4 linked regions of the Ovis aries genome follow. The protein of the gene in region 3 purifies or fractionates together with the protein of the main gene of each other region. This does not show direct contact. Links are inferred from orthologs where the notes say so. Each region holds a gene or a part of one and is shown on either strand. Other genes may lie near its edges. The genes, in order: SMC1A, PDS5B, sororin and SMC3.

Region 1 (5,651 bases), on a different chromosome or scaffold from region 3:
AAAGGCCTCCCTACCTGCAACCATTCAATATTGTAAACATTTTTATAACATGCATTATGATCTGAACAATGATACAATGTTTCAAGCAATGTCTTCTTTGGGGAACTCCACAGGCCAGTGATGAAGATATCAAAATATACACCATGAATTCACGACAGAATAAAAATTAACATGTACCAGGTGTCTAGAGCAGAAATTCACTGAAGGGAATCAAGGCAAATCTTGTGAGTTGCACACTAAAGAACAGGTAAGGGAGGGCCAGTCAGACCAAGGGGTTTTTTTGGAACACTTGCACATACAAATTTACCCATGTTGAGGGGACTGAATGCCAAAAGGTGCATCCTGGCTCTTTCCACGGGGGCCACCAAACAAAACCCTAAACAACTGCAATGAAACCCCAAGCATTAGCCATCTAAGAAGATGGGGGGAAGTGGAATGGTTTTGCCTCTCCCCCCAGGGGACACTTGGTAATGTCTAGAGACATTTTTGATTGTCATACCTGAGTCATGGGGGGTGGTGCTACTGTCACCTAGTGGGTAAAAGCTAAGGAAGCCACTAAATATCCTACAATGCACAGGATGGACTCCAAAGCAAAGAATTCTCTCACTGGAAATGTCAATAGCGCTGCTATAGAGAAACCCTGCTTAATTGAGAGCGAAATCTAGGCAAGTCTCCAGGGAAGGTCATCAGTTAGAGCTACTTCAGCAAGGGCAGTCCCTCAGGCTAGGAAGTGATTTAGCTAGAACACCTCTGAGGTGGAGGAACACAGCAGGATTCCAAATAGATAGCTAACGTGGGCAGACAGGAGGAATCCTTGGTGTATAATTTAGACAGGGAATTTAGATATGAAATAGAGACTTTACCTGACTACTCTTTCTTCCTTTTTCCTTTTCCCCCCAGTTTTAATAACAGTTGAGCTATTTCAAATCCTAAAAGATGATGCTGTTAAAGTGATGCACTCAACATGCCAGCAAATTTGGAAAACTCAGCAGGGGCCACAGGACCGGAAAAAGGTCAGCTTTCATTCCAATCCCAAAGAAAGGCAATGCCAAAGAATGTTCAAACTACCGCGCAATTGCACTCATCTCACACGCTAGTAAAGTAATGCTCAAAATTCTCCAAGCTAGGCTTCAACAGTACATTTACCAAGAACTTTCAGATGTTCAAGCTGGATTTAGGAAAGGCAAAAGGAACCAGAGATCAAATTGCCAACATCTGTTGGATCATAGAAAAAGCAAGAGACTTCCAGAAAAATATCTACTTCTGCTTCACTGACTGCCAAAGCCATTGACTGTGTGAATCCCAACAAACTGTGGAAAATTCTTCAAGAGATAGGAATACCAGACCACCTTATCTGCCTCCCGAAAAATCTGTATGCAGGTCAAGAAGCAACAGAACCAGAAACGGAACAACGGACTGGTTCCAAATTGGGAAAGGAGTATGTCAAGGCTGTATACTGTCACCATGCTTATTCAACTTATATGCAGAGTACATCATGCAAAATACCGGGCTGGATGAAACACAAGCTAGAATCAAGACTGCTCAGAGACATGTCAATAACCTTAGATACACAGATGACACCACCTTTATGGGCGAAAACAAAGAACTGAAGAGCCTCTTGATGAAAGTGAAAGAGAAAAGTGGAAAAAGTTGGCTTAAAACTCAACATTCAAAAAATGAAGATCATGGCATCTGGTCCCATCACTTCATGGCAAATAGATGGGGAAACAATGGAAACAGTGGCAGACTTTATTTTGGGGGGCTCCAAAATCACTGCAGATGGTGACTGCAGCATGAAATTAAAACATGCTTGCTCCTTGGAAGTAAAGCTTTGACCAGCCTAGACAGCATATTAAAAAGTATAGACATTATTTGCCGACGTGTTGTCAAAGCTATGTTTTCTGTTACTAGTGTATGGATATGAGAATCGGACCATAAAGCTGAGCACTGAAGAAATGATGATGCTTTTGAACTGTAGTGTTAAAGACTCCTGAGAGTCCCTTGGACTGCAAGGAGATCAAACCAGTCAATCCTAAAGGAGATCAGTCCTGAATATTCATTGGAAGGACTGATGCTGATGCTGAAACTCCAATACTTTGGCCGCCTTATACGAAGAGCTGACTCACTGGAAAAGACCCTGACGCTGGGAAAGACTGAAGGCAGGAGAAGGGGACGACAGAGGATGAGATGGTTGGATGGCATCACCGACTTGATGGACATGAGTTTGAGCAAGCTCAGGGAGTTGGTGATCGACAGGTAAGCCTGGCGCGCTGCAGTCTATGGGGTTGCAAAGAGTCAACAGCGACTGAGCAACTGAACTGAACTGACATACAACACTGTATTAGTTTCATGTGTACTATGTGACTCCGTATTTGTATATATTGCAAAATGGCTGCCCCAGTAAGTTAACATCCATCACCTCACAGTTAATATTTTTTGTGACTTTTTAAAGATCTACTCTTATCAATTTTGAAATACACAATACAGTATTGTTAACTAATGACCACTCTTCCTAAAGAGGCATCCGAGTCATTTATCACATCATCACTTTATTACATCAATCTAATTTCCTGTACAGCACTTATTACAGCCGAAAAATAACTTATTTTCTCCTTTATTATCGTCTTTCCCCTCGAAATATAAGTTCTCTGAAAGCGTGGCTTATTCTATTCTCCGCTGTTTCCACAGCACCTTGATTGAACAAATCCTTATAAAGCAGTAAACATTTAATAAATTTGACAAGCTAAAGACTCCTGACTTTCGACGGTTTCAGTGGTAGGAAAGGGGCGAATTCGAGGCATCCCCACTTCTCAGTTGAGGATGGGGGAGTTCAAGACCCCAAGCACTACCGAGACTGGAGCACGGAGTTCGAAATTCAAAAGTGCCGCCTCCAGAGAAGAGTTTAAAAAAAAAAAAAAAAAAAGGAATTGGAGTGTACCAACGCGAGACGGGAGGAGGCGCTGGGATGAAGCAGAAGTATACCATTTGGCCCAGAGGCCAGGAGAGGGCCACGAGCTTCCCGGTGGTTAAAACAATGTGTGGGGGCCGGATGCAGCTGCGCCGGCGAGGAATTGCGTGGCCCGCGACTGGAAGCATGCTCCGGACGCGCCACTTCTGGAGGCAGGGGGCAGTGGGCGGGGTAACGTACAGCTCGGCCCGTACCACTCAGGCCGGGACGGGGGTCACGCAAAGAGCGGGCAAGTGACATCTGGGGAAGAGGTTCGAATCAGAGCACCCAAGCGGGAAAAGCGGGTCAGGATCGAACACTTAGAAGGGCAAGGAACCTCCTAGGTTGCAAAGCCTGGGTTGTACTACTCTGCTGCGGACAGGGGGTCCAGGCTGGGACGTGCGCAGGGCCGCAGCCGGGCTTATCTCACCAGAGCCATTGGGTCCAATGATGGCGGTGAACCTCTGAAATGGTCCGATAATCTGCCGACCCTTGTACGATTTAAAGTTCTCGATCTCAATCAGCTTCAGGAACCCCATGACTGCGGCAGCGCCGCCGGCGCTAAGAAAGGCCGCGCCGTTCGCCCGCCAACTGGGATAGCCCGCGCGGGAAACACCGCAGTGCAGGCCGGGCGGACAGCAAACCTCGCGAGAATAAGTCCAGGCCGAACGGGATTTTCGACTTCCGGCGCAGGATGGAACCAAGGGGCGGGGCATTCGGACGGATGTGGCGGTTTTGTTGATCGGTTGCCAAGGCGCGAGGTTACGACTGGCGTTCGGGCCCCGCCCCCTTTTCTTGTTGCATGGCAATTTCAAACCGCCGCTACAGGCGACCTCGTAGTTGAGGAGGCAAGCAGTGCAGTGAGGTGTCTGCAGCTTTGAGGATCCCGGAAAGCTGGCTGACGAGGCCGACCCTTGCTGAGACAAGTCAGAAGTCACAGGAGGGTTATGCCCTCCAGGGCAAGAGTAAGGTGGGAGCTCGGCTGCAGCTTTTGCCTGGCCGGCGGGAAGGTTCAGACAAGAAAAGGGTCGGGAATTGGAAAGACCCCAGGGAGGGGAGGAAGGAGGGGCAAGCAGGAGGATTCCGTGTTAGAGGAGCTCAAATCTTGCTGAGGTTGGAATTGGAGTGGGGTGGAGTTATACATGGGATAGGGTGTTAAGGGGGATGAGGTGTGAATGGAGAAGGGGAACTCTGGAGCCACAGTTTTCCCCAACTGTGGCCAGAGGTACTACCCCTACCCGCCCCCCCCCCGCCCCGCCTCCCTCCTTCTTCTCCAAGCAGAGTTCAGAGACTGCCACTATAGTCTTGGACCTAACCTGGGAGCTTCACAATTGGGACTCCTTGATGAAAAAGGTATTTTGTGTGAACCCCTGGGAGTCAGGGTCCCTAAGCCTGTGCTCTCCACCTCTTATCCTTCTTCCCTTCCCCCTCTTCATCTCTGTCTTTTCATGCCTCACTCCCATCCCATTCCCTCCTCTCCATCCCCCCTCTGCCCAGTCCCTTGCTTCCCTTCCTTTTCTCTGCTCTGTCCTCCACCCCTATCAACCACCCGGTTTTCCTCCTTCCTCTTTTCCCCCTCTGCCCCTGACCTTTCTGTCCCTTTCCCCTGTTTCCCATCTTTTCTATCCCTCTGCTTCATCCCATCATCCCCCCTTACCTTATTACCTGCTCTTTATTAAGCCATAATGTTAGCAGTTCAAGAAGCTGTAGAATCTTCCCCTTCAGTTTGACCTTATATTGTGGTGACAGATGGAATATAAGCAAGCTGGCGTCAGTGCTTAGACTTAGACATGGAAAGGGTCTGGTGGCTGCTACAGCCATTCCTGTAACTATTTTTTAAACGATGTCTGGAGGCTGGGAAGAGTCTTAGGACAAGTCCAGAAAAGTGAGAAAGCCTGGTTGATGCAATTAAGTAAATGAAGTTCAGTTGGGAGATACTGGTGTGATCAGGCTGAGGGGATAAAATGACCAAAGACAGCAATCTCATAATGGACAGGAACTAGAAATCCCATGAATGGAAGAGCCTGGCGGGCTACACCTTGGGGTGGCAAAACAGTTGGACAGGACTTAGCAACTAAACAACAACAATAACTTCATTTAAGATGAAATGTAGCTTTTTGGAGAGAAAATCAAATTGGATCCCTACTTCTCACACCATATACAAAAGGCAATTCCCAGATAGATTAAAAACTTAAATGAGAAAAGCAAAACTTTAGAAATTTTAGGATATATAGGAGAATATCTTTATCACCTCAGGGGATTTCTTAAATGATAAAAACTTCTGAACTTAAAGGAAAAGATTGGTAAATTTGACTGCATTCAAATTCCTCCAAATTATAACATAAAGTGAAAAGATGATAAGTGCACACAAAAAGCTTCTAAAGTATCAATCTGGGTTCTGTGGAGGGTTTGCAGGTGTTCATTTTGTTGTTGTACTTCATAACTTATATGTGTTAACCATTTTCCTTTGTATGTATCGATCATTAACATAAATTATTATAAAATAATAACAAAGTGAAAACACAAGCCACAAATTGAAGATGTTTCCCACAGGTAAACTAAGAAATGATTGGTGTGCAGAATACACAAGAAACTCCTAAAATTAATAAGAAGAGGACAAACATTTTTTAATGAACAAAAGATATGAATGGGCACTTCACAGAAGAGAAAGAAAAAATGCCCAAAACACACATGAAAAGATGTT
Region 2 (5,203 bases), on a different chromosome or scaffold from region 3:
CCACTCTTCAGCAGTCCCATTTTGTGCATCAAAGGCTTTACTCAGCCTGAAGCTTGATAACCATTTTTTTCAAAGCTCTCACACAGAAAGTTATTAACGGCATCTGTTCATCGCCTTTCTCTTTTAGAACCTCGCCGCCGCACCTTGAAAGAAACATCAACAGGTGTAATTACCATTGTTTTATAACCAATTATTATTCTTAACACGTTCCTGATAGTCCTTTCTTAAAATCTTTCTCCTACATTAACTTTCAGCCTTAGCATCACATACATGAATGCTTATAAATAGCCTTTCCCAGGATTAGCAAAAGAGAAAATATTTTACTTTTCTGTTTAATAATTTTAAAGAGAAATGAACAGAAGTCAATGTCAATGGCAAAAAACAATGACAAACATCACCATGTTATTTATGTGTCTTTAATAAAGGAAAACATCTGGTATTTATGAACTTAGGCGTATAGCTACCTTTCTCAGAAGTTACTTATTGAGTTTGGATCATAATAACTATCAAAAAGATATAAAAAATGTGGCAAGTACTAATGAAAACATAAAATTTCAGATAAAATAAGTTTAGTATTATGAAGAGGAACACAAACAGAACAGGATTTTAATGTAATTAACTTATAGTTTAGTTTTCCTTTAATGAAGCCATCAGTTACTATGTACACATCAGCCTTATTTTTATACCTTCCCCCCATAAAAACCCTTTATAAGCCAAACTAGTTTGAGACCATAATTCAACATATTTTTTTCCTCTGGTCTTCAACTAATTCAGATAAATGAATCCTGATGCAGACAGAGGTGCTGATTATATTAAATAAGACAGAGAGGCAGGGGTCAACTCTGGGGCTTGATCACAGGACACACGTTTCTCAAACAAAAAACTGAAACTAGCTGAGCTGATCCACAGATTCAGCAAGAATATTAGCAATACACAGCTCTTACTTAGACGCATCAATTATATTTCTTCCAAAGAGAAAAATCGGAGCTGTGACAGGCAGCCATTCATTATTTTAAAAAGTATCTTGGGAGGCATCACATTCCTACTTTTGTGAAAGAAAGGTCTATTGCCAATTTTTATGAATTCCAAACGCTAATTTTATTTGAAGACATGACTTTATTCTACATGACTGACTAAATTCTAGTTGCTACTGAGAAACTCAAACAAAAAACTTATACGAAATATCACCAAGAGTATATGTAACAGATACTGGGAAAACTTAAGTGCATGTGGTGTCGTCCTGAGACTATCACTTGCTCTTCTCTGTATTCAGTTGTACACTGGACATTTACACTTTCACTAGGCTATGTCTATTATTCTCACTTGGTTTCAGGTTTTCATAAATGATATTTTCTCCACAATCTAAGCTGATAGATGAACTAACACACTACAAACAAATGAAAAAATATATACATAAATATTCAGAATTATTAAGTAACAGCAAGTGCTAAAAGAATCTGACCACTTATCAACTCTAATTCTACTGAATATACTCCATACTATCACACATGGAACTTTAAAAAACACATACATTTACTGTAGAGACTTCATCTTCTTCTGTTTCTTCCTGTGGATTTTCATCATTGACAGGAGAGCTACCCTGAAACACATCTATTTCTTCACTTGAGTCATTTTCTTTAGTAGCTGCTTGTTTAGAGCGTCCTACACGGCTAGAGTAAAACACAGGTAAAATAAAATGAACATTGTGATCTTTAAGTGGTAGTTTACCTTCATAAGAGGCCTTCCCTGGTATACCACTCAGCTGGTTAAGAATCTGCCTGCAAGGCAGGAGAATCAGGGGTTTGATTCCTGGGTTGGGAAGATCCCCTGGCGAAGGGACAGGCTACCCACTCCAGAATTCTTGAGCTTCCTTGGTGGCTCAGACGGTAAAGATGAATGAATGCAGGAGACCTGGGTTCAATTCCTGGGTTGGGAAGATCCCCTGGAGAAGGAAATGGCTACCCCCCCGCCCCCCCAGTATTCTGGCCTGGAGAATTCCCATGGACTCCATGGGGTCACGAAGAGTCGGAAATGAATGAGCAACTTCACTTTCTACTTTACTTCATAAGAGGAAATGCTTTAATTACTTAATAGACTGTCCTTTATTATCATTTTTACCCTCAATTACCGTGTAAGCCAAGAAATATTTTTCTTACATTCTAAACCCTAAACCAGTACTTAACCCTAGATTGTTACATATAAAAAGATCTAACAAATAACAAAAGTCAGGGTGACTGAAACCAACGCCATAAAGGATTTTAATATATAACCCAAAGTCTACTCTTCCTTTCCCAAGTCTGTAAAAGGCATCTATGTCTACTGAGTTGCTGAAACCAGAAAATTTAGAGTCTTCCTTAATAGTGTGCAATTCTTTGTCTGACCCAAAGATTCTACTTGTAAAGAAATATCAAATCCATTCACTCTCTCCATCTTCACTGTTACATCATACATATTTCTAAACCATTCTCATCTCTTGCCTCTAAGTAATCTTTTAAAAATGTAAAACAGCTGATGTCATGCCCCTGAGAGAGGCCCCTACTGTACTGAGAGTAACTGCATTAACCTCCTTGATAAGTACATAAGGACCTTTAGACTGGCCTTGCCTACTTTCAGTTCTCATCTCTTTCTATACCCCAATTCCCTGAAACTGCAATACAGCAAAAACTTTGCCTTCCTTCGGCTCTCTGAATTTGTCAAGATTGTTCCCACTTCAGCACCTTCCAAAACAATGTCCCCTCCACTTGAAATGTTCCTCTCCCTACTCTCTAGAAGTCTAAGTCCTACTGTTCTCAAGGAATCAACTTGAGGAATCAACTTGTTCTCAAGGAATCAACTTTCCAAAGAGAAAACTTCCCCAGTTCCCCAGCCCTCTCATTACACTCTCTTACAGCACCCTAACTTTGTCCTCCAAGGTACATTTCACAACTTATTATTTCACATTCATGTGTGATTATTTAATAACTACATTCCCTTTTAGATGCTAAGCACTATAAGGATGTCTGTTTTCTGTCACTATATTCCTTAGCACCTAGTACTCTCTGACACATAGAAGATACTCAAAAATATGTAACAGATACCACCATTTAATTAAACGTATATATCTGTTGGTATTTAATTTAGAATTTCCTCATCATTTCTATAAGCAACTGAATATACATACTGTTTAATCTGTACTCAAACCAATTTTCTCAAATTTACTTGATTTAGTTTTTCAGAATTAACAGAAGAAAATACAGGGAAAATAATATAATCTTGCTCAATTCCACTAAGATCAGAACAAGAAAACAAGCAAATAGTAACATATGTGATCATACTACCTCTAAAGAGGGGCCTTCCAGTAAAAAGAAGTTAGGCTGTTAAGATAGGACATAGACTCTCTCTCTCTGTGTGTTGATTTTTTTAACAGAAAATACTTGCTTCATTAAAAACATTCCCATGAGGAGGACTTGTGTAATTTTACAAGACAAAATGATAATCATATAAGCCCTTAATTTTATGATGCCCCAATATAAATTAAAGTTATAAGCATGAAAGATATTTACCCTGTTATTTTGTTATAAAGTTAATCATTGAAATTTAGGCTATCTTAGGAATTTTTTTTAAGTTATTTTTCCATGGTTGCATACAAACACATTTATAAAGCTGCCGAAAAAATGTACTTACCTTTACTTTTTACGTGAAGGAAAAATTAAATGGAAAAAGGTGGGAAGTACTGGCTAGACACTCAGTAACTTTTCCCATGGAATACACAGGAACAGGAAACTATGAACTGAGTGTTTAACCAAGGTGTGCTGGCAACTGAAAAGTCAAGCCACTGAAGTATGAGATTACTTTCAGAAAAACTGTAAAATTTCTGACAGACAACATGCTACTCTGTTTTTGCTTTAAATGAGGAAAAAAGTGCCAAATTTATAAATTACAACATTGATGCCCCTGCCACTTTAATAATTTTGGACACAGATTTGTTACTATAACTCTCCTATAAACATGTACTTGTGTGAACATCCAAAACTATCTATATGTAGATACAGATGTGTTAATTTACTTAGAAAACAATATCAAGACATCAAAAGCTTGAGATCACTATGTGATAATTTCCACCAACGTACTTAGGAAAAATGATGCCTGTTACTTTCCTACACTGATCAAAGAATGAAAGCAAAAGTGTATAAGCTATTTTTTTAAAGCTGCTGAGGAAAGATGGAAAACCTGTGGTGTGGAGTAACAAGAAAATGTGATCTATGCGTGATTATTTAAAGATACGCCATCGTCTCTTTAGGTACCATAAAGTGTGTACTGGAAATAATCAACTATTTGGTATTTGTTTATAACCATTTCTCTAAAGCCTATAAAAATGTACAAATGTCGCCAAAGGATGATTGGGATATTAATCACCTAGGTAAGTTTACAAAAATTTTATCTTACCTAGTATAATGGGCTAAATATATGGGTGGCTCAGACAGTAAAGAATCTGCCTGCAGTGTAGGAGATCTCGTTCGATTCTTAGGTCAGGAAGATCTCCTGGAGAAGGGAATGGCAACCCACTCCAGGATTCTTGCCTGGAGAATTCTTCCTTGGAGAATGGACAAGGGAGCCTGGTGGGCTACAGTCCAAGGGGTAACGAAGAGCTGGACACGACTGAGCAACGAACACTTTCACTATGTATTGTTATACTTAGAAATTTATGAACTCTTGCAAAATAATTTGAAACTGGTTTGAAACTTAATATTATTTACAACTTACACATTTTTGGGGGGTTGTGATGGTGATGGTGTTTTTGATGGTCTTCCTCGTCCTTTCTGTGGTGTGGACTGTGTGGATTCAACTGCACTAGTTTCTGGAGACTCTGCTCTGCTTTGGGAAAGACCCAGATGCAGACAGCATCAAGTTATGATTTACAGTACAATAACTGAATGCATGCAGTTCAGAGTGGCACACACTTACCTCTGCTGTGCTCTCCTTGAAGGCCGGTGCTGTTTACTTTTTGACTTCTGCTCTGTGTTTCCACTTTGTCTTTCTTCTTCCTCCTCCTCTTCTGCTGTTGAAGGTCCAGATTTTTTTTTGCTTCCTTTTTTGGATGTTTTCATCGTTGGCTCTTCTTTGGGTGTACCCCCACCAAGAGGTTTTGGTGGTCGGCCTCGTTTACCTTTTTTTGGTGGACTGTTCTGTTCATCCTCATTTTCTAGTATATCTTCTTTGAGCC
Region 3 (5,757 bases):
AGGTTGGTTGGAGGGAAGATGGGGCCACTGCAGCTGGGGCACTGGTAGCCAGCAGGTGCTGTGTTTCGGGGGAGCTGGGCAGCACGCTCATTGAGACAGGCCCAGTGGAAGAGATCTTAGAGGCCACGAAGTAGTGGAGGAAAGACATGAAGAAGACACTTAGGACCCCTAGTCCACTAGCCCACTGCAGAGATATCTGCACACGTGTGTAAGCCCAGGGCCCCCTCCTTCCCAGGTAGATTATATCAGTGTACCTTAAGACTTTGGTCTTCCTGGCCACCACTGTCTAAGATAGGGCAGATGCTAACAGGCTGCCCAGCCCCTAGGGGGTCGGGGGAAGTGGGATGAATATGCCACCTACCCTCTCCGGGAGTCCTCTCTGCACCTGCACTCATCACAAACTCACTGGGCTAAGAGCTCAAAAGGTTACTAGACATATACACAGGCACCTGGATGCGTGTACACATCCATCGGCACAAATGTACACGTTTATATACACGTAGTCAAACACAAGTGCCATCCCCTATATCCACACTTATAGGCACACTTACTCTCACATACACTCAAGTATGCCAATACCCAAGCATTCACACCCAGGAATTCTGCAACCTCACAACATGCTCATATATTCATATACAACACTGACCCATTCACTCACCCACAGTAGCAATGAATACACTAACAGGTAAAGACACAACACACGTTTAACTCATGAACATATAAACACACACTCACAGTGAGAAACACATACGTTAAGCTCAAAAAGTGGAGCTAAGGCTCTTACAGCAGAGTCGGGTCAAGATCATGACACATGCCTCTGTTGACTTCTTTTAACTGACGTTACTGTGGGAAATTCAGTTCCTCTCTGTGTAATGTTGGAATTAGAAATAGATCCTGAACGTCTGAGAGCCCCCTGCTTTCAGCTCACTACAGGTACAGCCAGCTACTGCTCAGAGCCACAACCACACCTGAGAGATTGGCAGGCAGGAAGCTAGGAGCTTAGTTTTTAGGGAAAAACACTAAGGCCTAGGAAGGGAAAGTGGCTTGCCTGAGCTCACACAGCAGGTAAGTTACCTAGTGGGACCAGAATCTGAGTTCCAGCCTCCCAAGCTTGAAGGTCTCACTGTCCTGCTGCTTGGGGAGCCGCTGGAAACCAGTCACACTGGTCTTGTCCAGATCCCCACCCCCAAGGTGCCCAGGCCTCACCATAACAGATGAGGCGGGTTGTCTCCCGAGCAGCCAGGGGTATGTTACACAGGCGGCAATTGGGGTTGTAATCGCTATCTTGGAGCCACTGCAGGTAGGACTGGACGATGCACTGAAGTGGGAGAAGGGGGTCACAACTGGAGCCAGGGCTCCACAGCCCGTCTCCCCAAGGCCCAGGTGCCTCTTTTTCTGTCATCACAGAGGAGATTCATTCTTTCGTTTGACCAATCAATAAACATTCATTGAGCACATATGTGCCAGACTCTGTCTTAAGCACTGGGGATACAACAGTGAACAAAATAAACTAAGTCCCTGCCCTTGCGGAGCTCCCATTCTAGGGCCAGACCTTTCATTAATTTGGAGGAAAGTCGACGACCTGCCCACCTAGTGCCCTGCTCAGTCTCTAACATGAACACCCACCTTGGCGTGATTGGCTACCAGGCAGTGCTCGCAGACGTTGACCCGGTGTTCGAAGCAGAATAGGTTGGTCACCTTCCTCTTGGGGCACTTGCAAAGTCCCATAGTCGACCCTGAGGAAAGCGTCACAGTTGGCAGGAAGCCAGATTCTGCTGACCTCTACACATTTACCAGCCCAGTTTGTTTCCACTCTTAACTTCCCTAGACACCGCACGTATCCGCTCCAACCCCAAACTCCTGCCCACCGTCTCTCTATATTCTGGGCCACGGCCCCTGCATAAATCCCGCCTCCTGAGACCCCCGCATTCGTCCCTCATCCCATCCTTGGGCAGGCCCCTCCATCAGTCTCTCCAATACCACCGGCCCCGCCCCCAGAGGTCCCTCCTGAGCCCCACCCCCTCCATGCCCCGCCCCCACCTTCTCCACAGACCCCACTCTCTGTGTTACTAATCGGCTGCGGCACCGGTCCTCACGGGCGCGAGGGCCGGTCCGAAGAGCGGAAGGTCAGACCGCGTTCAGCCAAGCTCTCGCCCAGCTCTCTCCAGCTCACAACGCTCCGATTATCCCTCGGCTGCCACGTCTCTTCCGGGTGCGGCGCGCTCTGATGACGTCAGGGTGCCAGTGACCCCGCCCCTGTAGACGCTAGACATGGAGGAGGGTGGAAAAAGGAGTGAGCGGATCTCGCGGCCCTCCCCCTTACGTCACTTCCGCTTCCTCCCGCGCAAGGCGGGTAATTCGAACGTTTACCCTTCGGGTTGGCGCGCGCTCTGGTGGCGGCACCTGCAGCAGAGGGGATAGAGACCAAAGCTAGACATGTCCGAGAGACGAACCCGGTCCGGAGGGGCCGCCCAGTGCCCCGGTGAGCGGAGGGGGCGCGCGGGAGAGGTGGGGTTGAGCCGTTTGAGGGACGCAGTTCGGTGAGGAACCCCCCTCCCCCGCCCGCCGCCCTCCAAGGCTCCCTCGTCTCCTGGCCAGGAAGGCGCCCCCAAAGGGCCTGTTTGGGAACCTTCTCTCTCTTTCTTCAGAACCTGTTGTCTAGACTCAGGCCTAGAGCCCTCCCCTACCTCCTAAATTTTTCTGATTGCAGGACCCAGCGCCCCAACTCCCACTCGGTCTCTGCGGAGGTCCCAGCGGAAATCAGGCTCTGATCTCCCAAACACCCTCCCGGAAATCTTGCCTAAGGTGAGCCTCAGGTTCCTCCTGCCCTGGAAGCCTCTGGGCTAATATAGACCTCATGTTCACTCCTCTTCTCCAGGCGCCTCAGGAGGCTCCAATCAGAAAGCCCATCGTCTTGAAGAAGATCGTGGCCCATACTGTAGAGGTGAGGGCTGAGAGAGGGGTTGTAGGTGGAGAGCCAGGATCGGGAGTCGGCTGTGTGATCAACTCGTTGTCCCCACAGATCACATCCATTAACTCTCCTCGAAGAAGCCCCCGGGTAAGTTCATTTTCATTTTCTTAGTTAAGGGGAGTCCAGGACAGACACTCTACAGCTGGGGTGGGATATAATGGCTGCTCATGTCTTGTGGCTCGGCTGGTAAAGAATCTGCCTGCAATGCGGGAGACCTGGGTTCGATTCCTGGGTTGGGAAGATCCCCTGGCGAAGGGAAAGGCTACCCACTCCAGTATTCTGGCCTGGAGTCGCAAAGAGTTGGACACAAGTGAGCGACTTTCACTCACTCATTCATGTCTGCCCAGGGAGTTGTTTTTGCTGTATTTTGAAACAGTTTGCCTTTGGACACCTGCATATGTTGCCAGGCTTGCTTACTTCCTACACACTTGGTGCGTTTAATGCCTTGGTATTCTCTACCATTTTCCTTTTAAAGTTGAGTTGGATCTTACTACTTTTTCTCCTTTCTAGCCTCTTTTACTCAGTAACTTATAATGTCTTGAACTGTTTTAGCAGAAATTATTGTTAAAGGTGTCTCATTAACAGAAGATCTGCACCTGAAAATATAACGAATGAGAAACGTTACCTGCCTTTGAGTAGCTCCGAGGCTTCTAGTCAACTGGGGAGAAAAACAAGTGATAACATAGTGTGCTGAGGACTGTAATAAAGAAAGTGTAGATGCTGTAAAGATACCTAACCCAGACCAGGTAGCTCAGGGAATGTTTCACAGAGGTGTTTGAACTTAGTCTTTGAAGACAGGTTAGCAGTGTTCCAGGCTAAGGAAACTGTGTTTGTAGACACCTGGAGTCCACAAGGAGAAGCACAAGGTTTCAGGAACAGCACTTTTGGTGTGTCTGCAGTAGACCTTGTCAGGAGAGGGAGTGTACTAAGCCAGAGCAGATCCTGATGAACTTGGACTTCATCCTTTGTTCTGTGGGCAGATTTGGAGAGTCGCAAGGTAGTTACTGAGGCAGCCTTGGGTGTTTTAGAAAGATCCTTCTTGGGTCTGGTTGGAGAATGGGTTGGAGAAAGCCTTCTGGGGTCTCCAAGACCAAGTAGGAGAACATCAAAGGAGTCCTAAAGTGAGACATTGGGTGCATGAAGGAAGGTAAAAGCAGAGTGTTGCTGGAGTTCTGCTGGAGAGCCCTATCAGACAGGACTCAGCTCAAAGGATACCTCCTCCCTGAAGCCTTCCCAATAGGCCTTATGAATAGCCAAGAGTACTTTGTTTGTATATTTGTTGTCTGAATGATAGATTCATGAGATATTGGACCAAAAAAATGTGCAAGGACTTGGATGGCTGTAGGGACTGGTACAGTGGTAGTCTGGGTGACCCTCGTTTTGTTCAGCATCCCTGTTAATAAGACTGATGGGATAGATTCCCCAGAGCCTATAGCCAGGAAGTGTCTCGTGATAACTAATGAAATTCTTTTAAACCACAAGGGTCACTAAATTTGTCCTGTTTCTCACCTTAGTTATCAAGCTCAGTGTCAAGTTTTGTGAAAGTCAGTTGAGTCTTTATGTATTGAACACCTGCTCCATGCAGGGCTCTGCTGAAGGTGCTGGGCATAGGCCAGGTCAACCAGACAGATGAAGACACCTGCTCACGTGGGACGGGCACATTCTAGGTGAGGTCTCAGCCAACCAGCAAACAGTCAGAATCAAGTAGTGATCCCGCTGGCCAGGAAAGGGGTCACTGTGACGGAGGGTGATGGGCAGAGGTAAGGAGGGGCTAGCCTCCGTTCCATGGTAAGGGACCGTCTCTCTGAGGAAGCAGCACTAGAGCTGAGACTGGAATTATGAGAAACAGCGTGTGAACATCTTAATACACATGTCAGATTAAGCATTTTCCTGTTCACGACCTTGCCATGGCTCCCGGGGCCTCCCCTTAAAATACTGGCCTGCAGACATGCCCTATAACACCCGCGTTACCTCTCGAATCCCATCACCAGTTCCTCGGCTCACTCCCTCTCACTTCACCCTCACTGCCCTTCTGTCCTTGACCCTGACTGGCACAGTTTCACCTCAGGACTTTGCACTTTCTGTTCTCTGCCTAGGACAGTTCTCCTCTGGATGACTGACTCCTTTGCTTCCTTCAAGTACTACGTCTGTCTCGGTGAGGCCTACATTGACCTACACCTATTTAAAATTCCCGCTTACCCCATGTACGCTCCATCCTGTTGTTTTCTTCCCAAGGTGCTTAGCACCTCTAACATGTGACACGATTCCCCCTGTGGTCTTTTTCCCACTAGAATGGAAGCCCTGTGGAAACAGGTGTGTCTTCTTTGTTTTCTTCCCTGCTGTCTTCCCAGTGCCTGGCACAGTGCCTGGCAGGTGACCAGTAAGGACTTAGTGACTGGATGGACATTTTAGATCCTTGGGCCTTTCTTGAAGTCAGTAGCACAATTAAATAACTGGGAGGCATTCTCTCTTCTGTCCTGCTACAGATCGCCTTTTTATTGGAGAAAGAAAACAACCCTCCTAGCAAGAAGCTCACTAAGGAGGACCTCTTCCAGACCTGCACTGTCCCTGTCACCGCCCCCTCCACTCCTGTGCTTTGCCCCGTGAGTGCTGAGTCCAACTCCTGGAAAGGAGACGTGGACGCCAGAGACTTGGAAATGTCAAAGAAGGTCAGGCGCTCGTACAGCCGCCTGGAGACTCTGGGCTCTGCGTCCACCTCCACCCCAGGCCGCCGGTCCTGCTTTGGCTTTGAGGGGCTGCTGGCAGCTGAAGATTTGGCTGGAGTC
Region 4 (5,684 bases), on a different chromosome or scaffold from region 3:
ACCTGCCTCCAGAGAAACCTGTTAGAACAGTTAGAACTCAACATGGAACAATGGACTGGTTCAAAATAGGGAAAGGAGTGCATCAAGGCTGTATATTTTCACCCTGCTTATTTAACTTATATGCAGAGTACATCATGAGAAATGCTGGGCTGGATGAAGCATGGGCTGGATGAAGCATAGGCTGGAATCAAGATTGCCGGGAGAAATATCAATCACCTCAGATATGCAGATGATATACCACCCTTATGGCAGAAAGCGAAGAAGAACTGAAGAGCCTCTTGCTGAAGGTGAAAGAGGAGAGTGAAAAAGCTGGCTTAATACTCAACATTCAAAAAACGACGACCATGGCATCCGGTCCCATCTTTTCATGGCAAATAGATGGGGAAACAATGGAAACAGTGAGACTTTATTTTTCAGGGCTCCAAAATCACTGCAGATGGTGACTGCAGCCATGAAATTAAAAGACGCTTTCTTCTTGGAAGAAAAGCTATGACTAACCTAGACAGCATATTAAAAGCAGACATTACTTTGCCTACAAAGGTCTGCCTAGTCAAAGCTATGGTTTTTCCAGTAGTCGTGTATGGATGTGAGAGTTGGACCATAAAGAAGGCTGAGCACCAAGAATTGATGCTTTTGAACTGTGGTGATGGAGAAGACTCTTGGGAGTCCCTTGTACTGCAAGGAGATCAAACCAGTCAATCCTAAAGAAAATCAATTCTGAATACTTACTGTAAGGACTGATGTTGAAGCTGAAGCTCCAATACTTTGGCCACCTGATGAGAACGGCCAACTTATTAGAAAAGACCCTGATGCCGGGAAAGATTGAAGGCAGGAGGAGAAGGGGGTGACAGAAATGAGATGGTTGGATCGCATCACCAACTCGATGGACAGGAGTCGGAGCAAATTCCAGGAGATGGTAAAGGACAGGGAAGGCTGGCATGCTGCACTCCATGGGGTCACAAAGAGTCAGACACAATTTAGCGACTGAATAACCACCAAAAGGCTTGAATGCACTGAACTTCCCCTTCACCAAAATCTTAAGAGACTGACCTTCCCCCACTGTCTCTTTGGAGCAGTCTCACAGAGTTATCTGAGGTGCTTATCTCCTGGGCTGCAGTCCTCATTTTGCCCCAAATAAAACTTAATTCCCAACTCATGCATTTTTTTTAGTCAACAGTATGAATCTTACCTCAAGCTATGGACTCCATGGTACATACTCTCCCTGACCCCTAATTCATATGTTAAAGCCCTAACCCTACTATGTGAAGCTTTTTGGAGATAAGGGGTCTTTGGGAGGTAATTTACATGAGGTTAGGAGTGAGGCCTTTATGGTAGGACTGCTCTTTCAAGAGGGAGAGGTTCAAACAAAGGTTCTCCAGAGCAGTGAAAAAATAAATCCCTGTTGTTTAAGCCATCTAGTCTATGACATTTTGTTGTGGCAGACCAAGCCAACTAGGACACTGTAGGGCTGAAATCTATGTTGATAGCGATTCTATACTTTTCTGGTGTCTGCTGCTGCTGCTGCTAAGTCGCTTCAGGCATGTCCGACTCTGTGAGACCCCATAGACGGCAGCCCACCAGGCTCCCCTGTCCCTGGGATTCTCCAGGCAAGAATACTGGAATGGGTTGCCATTTCCTTCTCCAATGCATGAAAGTGAAAAGTCAAAGTGAAGTCACTCAGTCGTGTCGGAATCTTAGCGACCCCATGGGATTTTCCAGGCAAGAGTACTGGAGTGGGGTGCCATTGCCTTCTCCTTTCTGGTGTCTAGAAGCACTCATTTAATCTGTTCTTTAAAAACTCAGCAGATGGTCAGAAAACACCTGCTGTCTGTATCACTATCATCTGTAGAACCTATATATTAATTATTATATTGAAGGACAATCACCATTAGCCCCCTTATCCTCACATTATTGCTTTCTCATTTAATGTTCCCAACAGCCCTAAGAAACATGTATCATTATTTCCACTTTCCAAGTGAGAAAACTGAAGCATCAGGAAGTCTGAAGAATACATAGCAGAACTGGGATTTGAATCCCATTCTGCCATGATCCAAAGTTTATGCTTTTCCTATCAAGCTGCATGGTCTGTCCTTGGACATTATAATGGGGAAAAAAAAATGTCTTAGAACAACCTAATTTGTGAATAAAGAATGGTCATCTTTGAAATAAGGCAATAGTGACCACTTTTAAAGTAGGAAATGACATACCAAGAATAGCTGAAATGCTAAATTTAGTGCCATTCACTATAAACTTAAATCTATTAAAACACATACACACAAGGCTACCAAATAAAAATGAATACTCTGTCTTATCCAAGTATTTTTAAACGTAAAAAGGAAGCAATTTCATCAGTGCAGATAAAAGTATTCACACAGAAAAAAAAATACAAATTTATGTAATATTAAGACAATTCCTGTCTCCTTAAGCCTAATGTAGGCAAATTTAAACGACTATGTAGACAGAAAACTGACAAGAGTGAACCATGAACACTTACCAATAACATTATGTTTTGAACTGAACGGGTCTACAATTGTTTGATCTCTATAACTTCGAAAACCCTGGATAATAACCTAACAAACAGAAGAGAGATTTTTTTCAGAAAGAAATAACATGCCCCAAAAGAAATAACCTCTAAGCTAGTATTTTCCTTTTGCCCTCCTTCCCTTTCTGGTTTCCCATTTAATGCCAAATAGAAAAATTCCCATGTCAGAGAAGAAAAATTTATCTTGGAAAATGATTTAAAAATCTTCTTAAAACTGCCCGTATATCAGTAACCACTACCAGTGTTGCTTAAGAGAAGTTATAATTAGTAACCTGTTAGGGAGCGCTCAAAATCAAATACACTGGGTAAGGCTGGCTGGAACACTAACCATCAGAGGGCCGGATAAAAGTCTTATCAAGTATGCAGGGGGGCTCAGCGGTCCTGGGCGCCCCTTTCAGTCACACTCTGACCAAAAAAGAGCCGCCCATCCAGGACAGGACTGCTCCGAGTCCAACACATCCAGCCGAGAAACTTCTCTTAACGAGTGTGAATGGGCTCATTTTCGGGGTGGCCTCCAGCGCGGGAAGACCATTTTGACAGAAAGTAAACAACGGAATGAGGAGGCGCTACACATTCTGCAGGAAGGAGGGACCCTTTCACGTCTCCGGTAACTCGGGGAGGAGCGAGGCCCCTGGCTAAGCTGACACCCAGCTTGGACCCCACAGGCGTCCCGAGGCCGGGGACACCCTCTCTTCACACACGCCACGCAAAAGGCTCGCGAGGGGGCTGCCTAGCCCCACAGGACCAAGCTGCTTCTCGTCCACCCGGGAGGGCCCGGTTCCCTCCAAAAGGCCCACGTCGCCAGCCCCTCCAGCTCTCTCCGCTAGAGCCCGCCTCCCTCAGACAAGCGCCCTGCGGAGAGGCTCGGGCTGCAAAGGGGCGGCTCGGGCTGCAAAGGGGCGCCCCGAGCTGCGCCCCTCCCCCACAGTCCCTGTCCAGCCCCGCGCCACCCTGCAAGAAGCAACACCCCCGACAGGAGCTGTCCTCACGAGCCCCTGAGGGGCGGGAGGGACGCACAGGCCTCACCTGCTTTATGTACATGGTTCCGTGCCCCTGGCCGGCGAGAAGGGCTCCCGGCGAGCAGCAACAACTCGGCAGCGGGGTTAGGTGAGGCGCCTAAACGACCCCACCCCCCAAGGCGCCGCTTGCACCCCTCGAGCCAAACAAAATGGCGGCGCCCATGGAGGCGGAGTCCCCGCCTCGGACGGAACCACCCTCGCAGCTTCCCTCGGAACGTGGGGGGAATCAGAGTCAGATCTGCTCTGTATTTTTAGCAAAAGAGCCTTCTGCGATGTCGCTAGCTGAATTTCATGTGACTCCTCAATTTTTCAATGAATTTTCCCTGAGAAGTAGTCGGAAACTTCATTCGGAAAAGCCTTGGTCGTGAGATTGACCTGTATACCCTCCGAGCGGGCAGCCAATGGTTGCGGCCACAAGGTGGCGAAAGGTTCGGCGCCAAAGCTGAGAGAGGGTGTCCAAGCGCCAGTAGCCGTGCGAGTTGACGGCCCCGTGGTCTCGCGCTGTTTGGAAATACCGAGCTGGGGCGGGCGGCGCGGCTGCCCGAACCTGTAGTGTACACGACCTGGGGGGAAACTCGGGGGGCAGAACCCCTGGTCCTCTATTATTCTCTCTCTTGTGTAACTTAGAATGGCCCCCGCTGACTCTGGACTCCCCACTCTCAGGACAGCCCCAAAGGGACTTGACGCTAGAAAATTAATTTTAATAATGTCATAGTTATTAATATCCCAGAGCTGTTACTGCTCTGCCAATTGGTATAAATCTAGGCAGATTGGACAACTGGAACGCAAAGATTTATTTAAGATTAAAACCCCTCCCCCCCTTTTTTTCCTAACAGCCTAAAAGCTTGGAGGTGCTAGTGGCAACCCTGGGCGTATCTGATCTGCACCAATCGCAGGAGAAAAACTCGGATCTCTGGGCCGCTGTAAAATTACCTGCCACTCAGCACTCAAGTTGGTCGGTCCTCGCCACCCGTCCCGCTACGGCGGACAGTTCTAGCGCTGATTATTTCTACATTGAGCTATTTCAAATGACTAACTTCGTCCCTGTCAACGCCTCTTGGTGCTGGAAGAAGACTTTATGTATGTACCTTTTTAATAGATGAAGAGGACAGGGACACTTCAGGGAAAACAAATGACTTATTAGAGGAGGCAAGGGAAAGAAAAAGAGCACTTCAGGGAAAACATACCACTTTTAGGAAAGTCAAACCGGCCCTTAGGAGAAGAGATGGAAGTCGCTGGTTTTTGCGACTTTGAGTATTACTTCCGTGATGAGACCAAACAAACTGAAAAGTTTTAGTTTGGAGCAGAGAAAGATTCATTGCGAGGAGAATGGGGCAGCTTATGTTCAAAAAGCACAAACTACCCAATGGTTTTCTGGGAAGAGTTTTGATAAGCAAATTTTGGAGGAAGGGCTGCAGAGGTGTGTGACCTGGTATAGTAACGGTGATATTCCAGGACTCTCAATTAGCCCTCTTGTTCCAGCCAGTCGGGGGTCCACATGCTTGCGCTCAGCCTTCATTTACCGTTCTTGATCTGCCTGGGGGACTTAGTGCCTGTAGAAGAACTCAAGAGATGTGTACCAGATTGTAGTGTGTGTACCTTGAAAAAGAACCAGGACCCCTCCCCATCACTGCTCTATTGTTTCTTGCCTCCTTTTAATTTCTTTCTACATTCCTTCACTCCCCTAGTTAGTAACTTTGAGTATCCCCTTTGGAATCCAGGGAAAATCTAGGAGGCTGAAGCCTTTTTCTTACAAACAAGAAATGGGAGACACAGGTTTTTGGTATGAGGCAGGGCCCCCAGGGTCCTGCCTGGATTCAGTAACACTCAAAAATCTAACTGCTCCCTTTCTCCGATGGGTCAGTTACTCTGATAACTTTCAGGGTCAGATTGGAGGAATAAATATACTGAATATATTTGCAGGAGGAATACACCTTGCTCAGGACCCAGCCTTCTGTTCGGTTTATGGGCTGTGGTGTGGGATCTGGCTAAAGTCTATAAACTGGGTGAAAGGTTGTGATTTTTCTGCTGTGGTGACTGACATCAGCCTCCACTCACCTAAACCTAATCTAATATAGTATGTAAATGAACCTCTACCACAACTGGCTGCCTATTTCACTCCT

Evidence for each region.
Region 1: the proteins of sororin (region 3) and SMC1A purify together in Homo sapiens (affinity purification with mass spectrometry; 7 studies listed by BioGRID and IntAct, counting the BioPlex papers as one, with this or other methods). This does not show direct contact. The link is inferred for Ovis aries from reciprocal best matches to the Homo sapiens genes CDCA5 and SMC1A.
Region 2: the proteins of sororin (region 3) and PDS5B purify together in Homo sapiens (affinity purification with western blotting; 4 studies listed by BioGRID and IntAct, with this or other methods). This does not show direct contact. The link is inferred for Ovis aries from reciprocal best matches to the Homo sapiens genes CDCA5 and PDS5B.
Region 4: the proteins of sororin (region 3) and SMC3 purify together in Homo sapiens (affinity purification with mass spectrometry; 7 studies listed by BioGRID and IntAct, counting the BioPlex papers as one, with this or other methods). This does not show direct contact. The link is inferred for Ovis aries from reciprocal best matches to the Homo sapiens genes CDCA5 and SMC3.

Annotation. Positions count from the first base shown.
Region 1 is NC_056080.1:51,291,447-51,297,097, forward strand, and holds the start of SMC1A (structural maintenance of chromosomes protein 1A), read right to left. Parts: upstream 3,553-5,651; 5' UTR 3,487-3,552; coding exon 3,378-3,486; intron 1-3,377. Other genes in the region: RIBC1 (RIB43A-like with coiled-coils protein 1), read left to right, coding at 4,292-4,300. UniProt on the Homo sapiens protein: Involved in chromosome cohesion during cell cycle and in DNA repair. Central component of cohesin complex. The cohesin complex is required for the cohesion of sister chromatids after DNA replication.
Region 2 is NC_056063.1:28,615,139-28,620,341, forward strand, and holds part of PDS5B (sister chromatid cohesion protein PDS5 homolog B), read right to left. Parts: coding exon 4,945-5,203; intron 4,855-4,944; coding exon 4,744-4,854; coding exon of another isoform or gene 4,740-4,743; intron 1,671-4,739; coding exon 1,532-1,670; intron 144-1,531; coding exon 108-143; 3' UTR 1-107. UniProt on the Homo sapiens protein: Regulator of sister chromatid cohesion in mitosis which may stabilize cohesin complex association with chromatin. May couple sister chromatid cohesion during mitosis to DNA replication.
Region 3 is NC_056074.1:39,743,718-39,749,474, reverse strand, and holds the start of sororin, read left to right. Parts: upstream 1-2,355; 5' UTR 2,356-2,436; coding exon 2,437-2,482; intron 2,483-2,710; coding exon 2,711-2,805; intron 2,806-2,878; coding exon 2,879-3,058; intron 3,059-5,457; coding exon 5,458-5,757. Other genes in the region: ZFPL1 (zinc finger protein-like 1), read right to left, coding at 1-115, 1,207-1,318, 1,627-1,728. UniProt on the Homo sapiens protein: Regulator of sister chromatid cohesion in mitosis stabilizing cohesin complex association with chromatin. May antagonize the action of WAPL which stimulates cohesin dissociation from chromatin.
Region 4 is NC_056075.1:30,648,159-30,653,842, reverse strand, and holds the start of SMC3 (structural maintenance of chromosomes protein 3), read right to left. Parts: upstream 3,708-5,684; 5' UTR 3,584-3,707; coding exon 3,569-3,583; intron 2,571-3,568; coding exon 2,495-2,570; intron 1-2,494. UniProt on the Homo sapiens protein: Central component of cohesin, a complex required for chromosome cohesion during the cell cycle. The cohesin complex may form a large proteinaceous ring within which sister chromatids can be trapped.